Linked DNA regions of Callithrix jacchus. The protein of the gene in region 1 interacts with the protein of each later gene in a pairwise test. Links are inferred from orthologs where the notes say so. Each region holds a gene or a part of one and is shown in the gene's direction. Other genes may lie near its edges. The genes, in order: PRKAB2, CSNK2B and CRX.

What was found.
Region 2: the proteins of PRKAB2 (region 1) and CSNK2B interact in a two-hybrid assay, tested with the Homo sapiens proteins (2 studies listed by BioGRID and IntAct). The link is inferred for Callithrix jacchus from reciprocal best matches to the Homo sapiens genes PRKAB2 and CSNK2B.
Region 3: the proteins of PRKAB2 (region 1) and CRX interact in binary tests that used the Homo sapiens proteins (3 or more experiments, as listed by UniProt). The link is inferred for Callithrix jacchus from reciprocal best matches to the Homo sapiens genes PRKAB2 and CRX.

What each region holds. Positions count from the first base shown.
Region 1 is NC_133519.1:7,286,734-7,290,383, reverse strand, and holds part of PRKAB2 (5'-AMP-activated protein kinase subunit beta-2), read left to right. Parts: intron 1-1,672; coding exon 1,673-1,839; intron 1,840-2,643; coding exon 2,644-2,737; intron 2,738-2,968; coding exon 2,969-3,089; intron 3,090-3,650. UniProt on the Homo sapiens protein: Non-catalytic subunit of AMP-activated protein kinase (AMPK), an energy sensor protein kinase that plays a key role in regulating cellular energy metabolism.
Region 2 is NC_133505.1:39,169,942-39,173,691, forward strand, and holds the start of CSNK2B (casein kinase II subunit beta), read left to right. Parts: upstream 1-1,035; 5' UTR 1,036-1,151; coding exon 1,152-1,227; intron 1,228-1,548; coding exon 1,549-1,631; intron 1,632-2,595; coding exon 2,596-2,698; intron 2,699-3,280; coding exon 3,281-3,396; intron 3,397-3,750. UniProt on the Homo sapiens protein: Regulatory subunit of casein kinase II/CK2.
Region 3 is NC_133523.1:41,742,362-41,746,011, forward strand, and holds part of CRX (cone-rod homeobox protein), read left to right. Parts: intron 1-1,815; coding exon 1,816-1,967; intron 1,968-3,650. UniProt on the Homo sapiens protein: Transcription factor that binds and transactivates the sequence 5'-TAATC[CA]-3' which is found upstream of several photoreceptor-specific genes, including the opsin genes.

The sequences.
Region 1 (3,650 bases):
TTATCTGTAACATTTTAGATCTACTTCTAAAGATGAGGGATTTTTCTTTATTTGAACATAATCAGGGTATGTCTAGGAAGCTTTTTTACTTTATTTTAACATAATTACAGTATTATCTAGGAAGCTTTTTAAAAATAGATTCCCAGATCTTATATCTGAATCAGAATCTTAGGGTTATTCTTAGGCATATGTAAAATTCTTGCAATTCTAACACAGTCAGTCATGCAAGAGTACATTGTTCTGAGAATATGTAGTTTTCTCTTAAGTCAGTTCCTTATATAATGTGAAAGTCCTTTCAATTCTCTTTCTCTGTTTACTTTGGATTATCCTGCTACTGATGTCTCGTACTGTAGTTTTGGGGAATATCACGAGAATGTATGGAGGGGAAACTATGTCAACCATTTTGAAAAGAAGGCCCAAATGAATAAGCCAGTCCTTTTTGGGGGGGGGGGAAGCCCACATTATTCTATTTGGTAATATTTAGGCTTAATAATCTACAGTCTCATTTACCAGAGTCACTTAAACCAATCTGAAACAGGGGTCAGCAAACTTTCTGTGAAGGGCCAGGTAGTAACTATTTTAGACATTGTAGACCATGCAGTCTCTGTTACAGCTGTGCAATTCTGCCACTGTAGCTTGTAAGTAGCTATAAGTAATACAGGTAAACAAGGCAGGGATGGTGGCTCGCACCTCTGGTCTCAGTTTCTTGGGAACATGGCTTGAGCCCAGGAGTTCAAGGCTGCAGTGAGCTATGATCACACCACTCACTGCATTCTAGCCTGGGTGACAGAGCAAGGCCGTTTCTCAATAAATAAATAATAGGTAGACAAATAAGTGGAGCTGTTTTCAAATAAAACTTGATAAAAGCATCTGGCTCACTGGCTGTCTGCCAACTCTTGGTCCAAAGGATGATAATGAAAAGAAACAGGAGATGTTTTTTTTTGCAATCCCACATACCTCATTTGGTAAGATTACTACTCTTGATAAAGGAAACTGTATTTTCGATCTCTTGCTCCTTGAGGTTCTAGAATTTTTGTTCCTACTCCTGAAATAATTAGTATAAACCTAGCACAGGGGAGCAAGTAAGATTTCATAGCTACTTCTCAAGTTTTAAGAAATCAGTGATCCGGTTTTTGAGTTTTTACTGTTTCTTCTTTTTGTAACTTATTAGCAGAAATAGCGTTTATGAATTATGAATTTTGATGTCTCTAACTTCCATTACAGCTGGTAATTGAGAGCTATTCATATTTGCCTATAAAAATATATATTATTTTTTAATAGAACCATACTTTGTTTTTATATGTTTTTTTCTCTTAAAGACTCAGAAGTGTATAATAATTGCCTGCTTATGAGTTAAACTAGTGGTAGGGAATAGTTTTTTCTTGCTTTTTTTTGAAGGAGAGTCTAAGGCGCGGAAAGGGTGGATGATGCAGGTAGACTCAAAAGTCAGGCTATGATTTAGGAGGTACTTAAGCATAGGCCATTTGACCATTTTTGGTCCTAAATGAGTTTTTTTTTTCTATAATTTGTTCAAACTCAGATTTAGTTGCTGATTGTGGGGTTTATATCCTTAGCTAAAGCCTAGCATCCTTCTCTACCCTAGGGAGGAGAGTGACCTTTTAGAATTCTTGGGTCACAGTTTATTCTAGGGATGACCTACTCCTTCTTACAGCTCCCTGGGGACAAAGAGTTTGTATCCTGGCAGCAGGATTTGGAGGACTCCGTAAAGCCCACACAGCAGGCCCGGCCCACTGTTATCCGCTGGTCTGAAGGAGGCAAGGAGGTCTTCATCTCTGGGTCCTTCAACAATTGGAGCACCAAGATTCCACTGATTAAGAGGTGAAGACAAGTGTCTTGGTTGAATCTAAGGGTCCAGGAATAGTGACCTAATTTCTTTTCTCAGAAGAGAAACGCCACTGGACTACTTTTCCCCACTGCTAAGGACTCTCTCTAGAACATGCCCTTTCTGTGGCCACTTAGTATATCTGTGGGATTTTTTTAAACTTCATAGTGAGTCAGAGATGTTTTACCCCTTCGAATATGATTGCCTCAGAGGGATTCATAATAGCTTTGTGGCTCCATTCATTAGGGCTGTGCTTGTGGGAAGTCTTCTGTAACTGGCTGAGGCTTGTTGCCCTGACTTCTGCACTAAAGCAAAACACATTTTGAAGTTCTAGCTAGTCATGTTATTTGTTGCTCCCACAGCAATAATGAATGGTCTAACTGGTTGTCAGAATGGCCCATTGTATGGTAGGTCATTTTCCAGAAAAGGTTCACGGAAATAGAGAAAGGATACCTTGAGGCACTGTGTCCTGAACCTACCTATCTTCTTTGCACTGGCTAGGAGCTTGTTCTGCTGAAGCAACGTAGTTATGCTAGGGTGCACCATTCCAGAGGATTCATGCTTTTATTATTCTTTTCCAGATACTGGTTAAGAACTAACGTTGTTGGGAGGAGCTGGTAAATACACGTCCAAGATGATACAAAAGAGGAGAATGGGTTTATACATTGTTTTTCACACCAGGGGATACAGTGGCTTAGGAATCTGGGAGATCCTTCATGTGATACTGTGATTGCCACTTGTTTTTTATATTTGGTCTTCTGAAAGGAACTCGGCCTGTTTGCTTTTCTTTTTCTTCATAGCCATAATGACTTTGTTGCCATCCTGGACCTCCCTGAGGGAGAACACCAATACAAGTTCTTTGTGGATGGACAGTGGGTTCATGATCCATCAGAGGTAAGGCCTTGATCTCCAAGGGTAACCACTGACTTAGCAGCCCCATTTTAGCTGTCACTTCTGTCAAGACTGATGGGCAGCTGCTCCCCTACACTGGAGGATTTCTCTCTTGATAAAATATGGAGGTGCTGAGTCTAATCACATGTAAATTTTAGGATAAAAGAGGAAGGTTGGATGGAAAAGATGGATTTGAAAGAGAGATTCAGTATTTTTTTCTTTTCCCTGTTTCAGCCTGTGGTTACCAGTCAGCTCGGCACAATTAACAATTTGATCCATGTCAAGAAATCGGATTTTGAGGTGTTCGATGCTTTAAAGCTAGACTCTATGGAAAGTTCTGAGGCATCTTGTAGAGGTAATTTTGTAGTATTTACTCTTTTTTTGCTGTGTCTTTCTTGCACCTTCCCAAAAGTTGTTTCTGTATGTATATATATATAGAAAGAGAGAGACAGAGAAAGAAGAAGAGAGTGAGCCAGGGTGGGGCGGGGGGTGAAGGGGAGAGGGGGAAAGAGACATTGAGATTTCTCTTGTAAGCTTAGGTCTCTTCTTTGCTGCAGACACCCACACACACGCACATGCTAACAAAAGTCTCATGGTGTAATGTTTACCGTATCACATGTGATACACTCCATTTGCTACATTATCTTTTTTTTTTTTGAGACGGAGTTTCGCTCTTGTTACCCAGGATGGAATGCAATGGTGCGATCTCGGCTCACCGCAACCTCCGCCTCCTGGGTTCAGCCAGTTCTCCTGCCTCAGCCTCCTGAGTAGCTGGGATTACAGGCACGCACCACCATGCCCAGCTAACTTTTTGTATTTTTAATAGAAATGGGGTTTCACCATGGTGACCAGGATGGTCTCGATCTCTTGACCTCGTGATCCACCTGCCTCGGCCTCCCAAAGTGCTGGGATTACA
Region 2 (3,750 bases), on another chromosome or scaffold:
CCCCCTCGCTCCAAGTCCATTTTCTGGACCTGGGAATCCACTCTCCGTGTTAGGAAAGGCCCTCAGGAGGCGGAGGGAAACTTGTGGAATGCCGAGAAGCCGTGAAATGAAATAACGTCACGCCTGCCCCTCACCATTACTCTGACCAGGGTTCTAAGGTCACACTTAGAGCGTAAAAGGAGAAGTGCAAGGGGACGAGCGAAATGGCTGGCCCCACCTCAGGTTACCGCACTGGGCCGTTCTGGTTCTCACAACGCTCAGCTCAGCTCAGCCCAGCCCACCCAACCCAAGTCCCTACGCACGGAGCCAAACTGCACCTCTCGCCTCATGAGGCCAGAGCCGGGAGGGTAACAGGAGGCCAGTCAAGGGTGTCCGGCGGGACTGACTCTCACTAGGGGCTCAACAATCAATAAGGACCCAGCGGATTGGCCGGGGATGGGCCAGTCCCCTGGGCAGCAGCGCCCCGCTGCGCCGGAACTAGACGGGAACTGCGTGTCTCCCTCCTCTCCCCGCCCCATCTCGGCTTTTCTCCCAGTGAGCACACAACTATATTTCCCAGGCTCCCTGGCCCCAAACGTCATACCTGGCTTCCGCTTCCGGTGGCTTCTCGCTGTGCCCCGCCCGCAAGCGTCCTCCTCCGGGGCTTCGTGACAGCCAGGTCGTCCGCGGGTCTTCCTGGGATTGGTAGTTCGCTTTTCCTTCATTTCACCAGTTTCTCTTTCTACCTGGGACTCCGTGTCCCGGCATCCATCGCAGCACCTGACCCTTGGCGCTTGCGTGTTGCCCTCTTCCCCACCCTCCCCAATTTCCACTCCCCCCCACCCCACTTCTCTTGCCGCGGTCGGGTCCGCGGCCTGCGCTGTAGCGGTCGCCGCCGTTCTTTGGAACTAGCGACTTCCCTACCCCACCCCAGTCCTGGTCCCCGTCCAGGCGGTGAGTCTGAGGTCGTCGCTACTCAGAGTCTCTTGTTGGGAGCAGCACATGGGGTCTCCGTACTTTGATGTGGGGGCGGGGGAGGAAGCGACCAGGTCCGGCACAAAGGAGGGAGAGGTGGCCTGAGGAGCGGAGGCAAGATGTGTGGACTCCAGTGAAAGGGACTTGACGGTCGCTCCAGCCCATAAGAAGAGGAGGGGCCCGGCTCTTGCTAGAGAATGATAAACTTCGAAACGCTTGGGAAAGGCGCCGGGGTCATGCAGAGAGCTGCAGTGGTAGGGAGCCTGAGCCGAGGTCCGTGCTGGAGGTGACACAAAGTAGAGAGGGCCCTGGCCTTCGGGAGCTCCAGGGATGTGGGTCAGGCTGGTGGGTCAAAGTATCTGTTGGGTTCTCTCAAGTGGTGGGACCCCAAAGTGTGTTTAACCTCAAAGAAAAGGAGCTGAGACGTAAATTAGAGGAGCTGGAGAGGAGTGTTTCAGAGTTTGGGATCCTTTAAAAAAGGACGGCTCCAAATTCTAAAGTCTCCCGTGGTTGGAGGGCCGAATGTGGGAGGAGGGAGGATACCAGAGGCAAGGAGGGAGAACTTGAGCTTTACTGACATTCTTCGTTTTCCAGCTGACGTGAAGATGAGCAGCTCAGAGGAGGTGTCCTGGATTTCCTGGTTCTGTGGGCTCCGTGGCAATGAATTCTTCTGTGAAGTGAGTTCTCTTCAACCCCCCTCCTTGCCAGCTCCACATAGATTCCCACTAGACGTTTCTCCACATATTCCACTTCCTCATCGTTCTCTTATATGCTACTTGAAAACTTCCCATCAATGAAGAGTCCCCTCAGTAACCCCCGGCAAATCTGTGCTAAAGTGGCAAAATTGGGGCCTGTCCCAACTCTGCCATCCTCCAGCAATATAACGTTGGACTAGGCAATTTGTGACTTTCTCTTTTTTTCTTTTTGAGACCGAGTCTTGCTCTGTCACCCAGGCTGGAGTGTAGTGGTGTGATCTCACCTCAATGCAACCTCTGCCTTCCAGGTTCAAGTGATTCTCCTGCTCCAGCCTCCCAAGTAGCTGGGATTACAAGTGGCTGCCACCACGCCCAGCTAATTTTGTATTTTTAGTAGAGACAGGGTTTCACTAGGTTGCCCAGGCTGATCTCGAACTCCAGACTTTAGGTAATCTGCCCGCCTTGGCCTCCCAAAGGGCTGTGATTACAGGCATGAGCCAGTGCACCCAGCGTGTGTCTTTTATTACTAAAGTGGCACTGCTAGTACCTGTCTCAGGTGGCCGTTAGGAGAATTGAAATGCTACGTATCCAAATCTTTTGTTCAGAAACCAGGCTGTTCAGCTTCCACCTTCCTTAGCCAGCTGAGAGGACAAAATGGTTCCTAGCGATGGGAGACAGGAATAAGGATAGAGATCTTGAAAAGAATGTCTCTCTAAGAAAAAGACTGCTGTACCTGCTTATCCTTAGAAAACAAAAGCCAAAGCTTTTATGGGAGGGAGTATAGGTGAACAGAGAAGAGACGCGAGTACTTCTGCTGAGTTTCAAGTGAGAAACAAGGGGGAACAGAGCAGTTAGGTTGATAACAAGGCATCAGTTAGAGCATTTTGCTCACGTTAAAGATGGAGATTTTGACATGGGTTCCCTCTTGGCTTCCATATCCTGACAGGTGGATGAAGACTACATCCAGGACAAATTTAATCTTACTGGACTCAATGAGCAGGTCCCTCACTATCGACAAGCTCTAGATATGATCTTGGACCTGGAGCCTGGTGAGGCACCCTCAGGGTTGTTTGTGTGTGTGCGTGTACTTTTTTTTCTCTTCAGATCCCTATTCACTTGCTTGAATTTTGAAATTTCCTTTGGTTCTCTGATTTTCTTAACCCCAAATTCATGCTTTATTTTGATCCTCCACCTGACTCTTGTCTAGTTTTGTGACGCATTATCACTTGTTTCCCATACTTTTTAAATCCACAGTTCGGATCTATTCCAAAATGGGTTTCCTCATGGGTCTCATTTGCTGTCTGTTTCTCCTACCTTGGACCTTCTAGTCCGGAGTTTGATCTTCTGCATTGATATTGTCGCATTTATGTATTGAGGAGGGAGTTGGGAGGGAGAGGAGAGGAGAGGAGAGGGCAGAGGCTGACGAGGTGTGAAGAGAAGGCAGAGCTCTGCCTTGGGCTGGTGAAAGCGTCAGAAGCCCAGGTTTCTGGGTCACATGCCCAGGTGTTGGATAGGGTAAGGCTCAAAAGTAGGTGCTAGGCAAACTGAATAGCTAGCAGCCCCTGGGTATGGGCAGGGCACCTAGGAAAGCTGAAAAACAAGTGGTTGCATTTGGCTGGGCTGTGTTTCAGATGAAGAACTGGAAGACAACCCCAACCAGAGTGACTTGATTGAGCAGGCAGCCGAGATGCTTTATGGATTGATCCACGCCCGCTACATCCTTACCAACCGTGGCATTGCCCAGATGGTGAGGCCACTCTGCTCCCACTTGCCTCTTTCTGAGCAGTAAGAGAAACAGGTTCCTGCAGCAAGAAGTCATGTTTCAGCCCAGCTAAGGAAGCTAGCTGAGAAGAGGGGAAGAACCCCAGAACTTGGGCCTTGGAATTTAATCCTGATTGGGGGTCATCCTGAAGGGATCGTTTTCAGGGAGGGAGACAGACCTTGAACAGAGAGTTGTTATAGATTGGCTCTTCCTCAAGGAACAAACAGTGAATGGCTCTGATGGTTTGTTGTCTGCCTAACTGGAAGAAAGGCAACATAGGAGTTTGAGAGCCCATCTGGGCCAGTGAAGGGGCCTCTGGACAGAGGTGGGAGGAGTGGG
Region 3 (3,650 bases), on another chromosome or scaffold:
CCTAGAAATTTAGGATAGAGGTTCCTTTTAGGGCGGGGAAGAGGGGATGCAATCTGGAAGGGACAGCGAGGAATTTTCATCTGTTAGCAACACTTTATTATTCATTTATTTTTCAGAGTCAGGGTCTCACCCTGTCTTCTAGGCTGGAGTGCAGTGGTGTGATCATGGCGCCCCACAACCTTGAACTCCTGGGCTCAAGGGATTCACCCACCTCAGCCTCCAGGGTAGCTGGGATTGCAGGTGTGAAACATCAGGACTAGGCAGCAAAGCTTGTATGTGTGTATATATATATATATTTTATTTTTGAGACAGAGTCTCACTCTGTTGCTCACTCTGAAGTACAATGGTGCAATCATGGCTCACTGCAGCCTTGAACTCCTGGGCTCAAGCTATCCTCTTGCCTCAGCCTCCCGAATAGCTAGGAGTACAGGTACAGGCCACCATGGCTGGCTAACTTTTAAAATTTTTTTGTAGATTGTGCAGGATCTGGATTAATAAAACATACAAAAAATTATTATTTTTTTGTGAATATGGGGTCTCCCTGTGTTGCCCAGGCTGGTCTCAATAATCCAACTGTCTCAGCCACCCACAGCGCTGGGATTACAGGCATGAGCCACTGCACCTGGCCTACAAAGCCTTCTTTCTTTCTTTTTCCTTCCTTCCTTCCCTCCTTCCCTCCCTCCCTCCTTCCTTCCTCTTTCTTTCTTTCTTTCTTTCTTTCCTCTCTTTCTCCTTCCTTCCTTCCTTCCTTCCTTCCTTCCTTCCTTCCTTCCTTCCCTCCCTCCCTCCCTCCCTTCCCTTCCCTTCCTTCCTTCCTTCCTTCCTTCCTTCCTTCCTTCCTTCCTTCCTTCCTTCCTTCCTTCCCTTCCCCCTTCCTTCCTTCCTTCCTTCCTTCCTTCCTTCCTTCCTTCCTTCCTTCCTTCCCTTCCTTCCTCCCTTCCCTTTCCTTCCTTCCTTCCTTCCTTCCTTCCTTCCTTCCTTCCTTCCCTTCCCTTCCCTTCCCCTTCCTTCCTTCCTTCCTTCCTTCCTTCCCTTCCTTCCCTTCCCTTCCCTTCCCTTCCCCTTCCTTCCTTCCTTCCTTCCTTCCTTCCTTCCTTCCTTCCTTCCTTCCTTCCTTCCTTCCTTCCTTCCTTCCTTCCCTCCCTCCCTCCCTTCCTTCCTTCCTTCCTCTTTCTTTCTTCTTTCTTTTCTTTCTTTCTCTTTCTTTCTTTTCTTTTCTTTCTTTCTTTTTGACAGAGTTTCGCTCCTGTTGCCCAGGCTGTAGTGCAATGGTGTCATCTCAGCTCACTGCAACCTCCGCCTCCTGGGTTCAAGCGATTCTCCTGTCTCAGCCTCCTAAGTAGATGGGATTACAGGCGCCTGCCACCCCACCTGGCTAATTTTTATAGATCCTTATTTTTGAGTGAAGTGAGCACTCAGTTATTTGTAGTGTTATTCTTTAGCTGGTTTTTTTTTCCCCACTAAGTTGAGCGGTGTGGACTTGCTACTTTTATAGGCTAGAAATTGTTAATGTCATGCTTCAACTGAATGTGTCTTAGACGGTGCATGAGAGAGTTTCGAAGAGGGAAAATGACTGACACATATATTGGATGGATACACTGCCTTGTAGGGCTAAAGCCAGTTCCCCTTGGGGTCAGGCATGAGCCCTAGGATGCCAGGACAGGGTGAGGTGTAGGAGGGCAGGGAACGTGTATTCCACCCCTAGTTCAGCAGATGGCACCCAGGATGGAATTCTTGGCATCCCACCAGCCTCAGGGCCTCCTCATGGCAGCAGATGTGGATGATCTGAGGGTCCTGTTTCCCATCCCACCCCAGGCGCCCCCAGGAAGCAGCGGCGGGAACGGACCACCTTCACCCGGAGCCAACTGGAGGAGCTGGAGGCACTGTTTGCCAAGACCCAGTACCCGGATGTCTATGCCCGCGAGGAGGTGGCTCTGAAGATCAGTCTGCCCGAGTCCAGGGTTCAGGTGCGGTGGTGGGTCCCCGGACCCCTCCCGACCCTTCCTGTGACCTTCCATGGGCCCTCCCTGGACCCAGAGTGATGGGAGGAGGGAGAGATCACAGGGTTACAGCCACAGTTATAAAGGGGACAAAAATTCCTCCCTCCGCCATCCCACTGATTCCCCACCTCTTACTGCTCTCACCGCCCTCCGATCCTCTCCGGCCACGCTGGCCTCTGACCTGCCTGCTGGGCACCCCCCTGCCTGGGGCCTTTGCACTCAGTGTCCTCTTTCTGAAATGCTCATTTTCCAGATAACCATATGGCAGGCCCCATCGCCTTGTTTGCGTCTTTGCTTATCCATCAATGAGACGCACACTGACCACAGCATCTCACCCCTCGGTGTTTCCCCGCGACCCTGATTCCATGCTGCCCCTTACCCCGCTCAATTGTTTCTTCCACAGTATTTATCACCCTCTAAGATACCATCTGATTTATGTATCTACTGTTTATTTAGGCTCTGTCTCTCCCAACTAGAATGTCAGTTCCATGGATGGACCCTCAGAGTAGTAGAAGATGGTTAATGCACATTTATGAACTGACTGACTGATGGGTGGGTGGGTGGATGCATAGATGAATGTATGTATGTGTGACTGTATATGTGTGTGTGTGTATGTGTGATTGGAAGCGTGGATGAGTGTCTGTGCATGCATGAGTATCTGTGTATGATTAAATGGATACATGTATATATGTGTTTGCATGAATGCACATAGGTAAGATAGATGGTTGAATGTATGCATGCATGATGTAGGTATACATGATGTATGTACACATGTACAGTTGTATGTATGCATGCATGAATGGATGGATGGGTGTATTTATATATGAGTGTATGCATGTATATATGATTGGACAAAGTGTGTGTTGTAGGAGGGTATATATGTATGATTGGATGGATTATGTGTGTATAATTGTATATTTGTATGCTTGTATGATCAGATGAATGGATGAATGTACATATGATGTACACATGTATAGATAGACCATTAATACATGTGTGATGCATGTGTGTATGATGTATGTACATACAATTGTATAAGATGGATGAATGAACCTATGTATGATGTATGTGTGTACACTTGTATGTATCATCAGATGGGTAAGCGTCTGGATAATGTATGTGTGATCAGATGGACTGGTGAATGTGTACATGACATATACATGTATGAGGTATGCATGTACGCTCAGATGAATGGATGCATAATGAATGTGTATATGGCGTATGTGTGTATAATTGTATGCATGTATTTTGTATGATGTATGCATGATGTACACATGTGCACACATGTATGTATAATTGGATTGATAAATGAAATGTGTGTTGTATGTATGTATGATTAAAGTGCAGCTATGTATGATGTATATGTGTACAGTTTATGTGTCTATAATTGTATATTTGTATGTTCATGTGATCAGATGGATGAATATATGTATGGTATATGTATGTATGATCAGATAGATGGGTAAATGTATGCATGGTGTATGTGTGTATGGTGTGTGTATAATTGTATGTGTGTATTATGTTTGTATTGGATGGATGGATGTAGGTGTGATGTTCATGTACACACACATGTATGATTGGATGGATGGCTGTAGGTGTGATATATGTGTGTGTTCATGTACACAACATGTATGGATGATGGATGTAGGT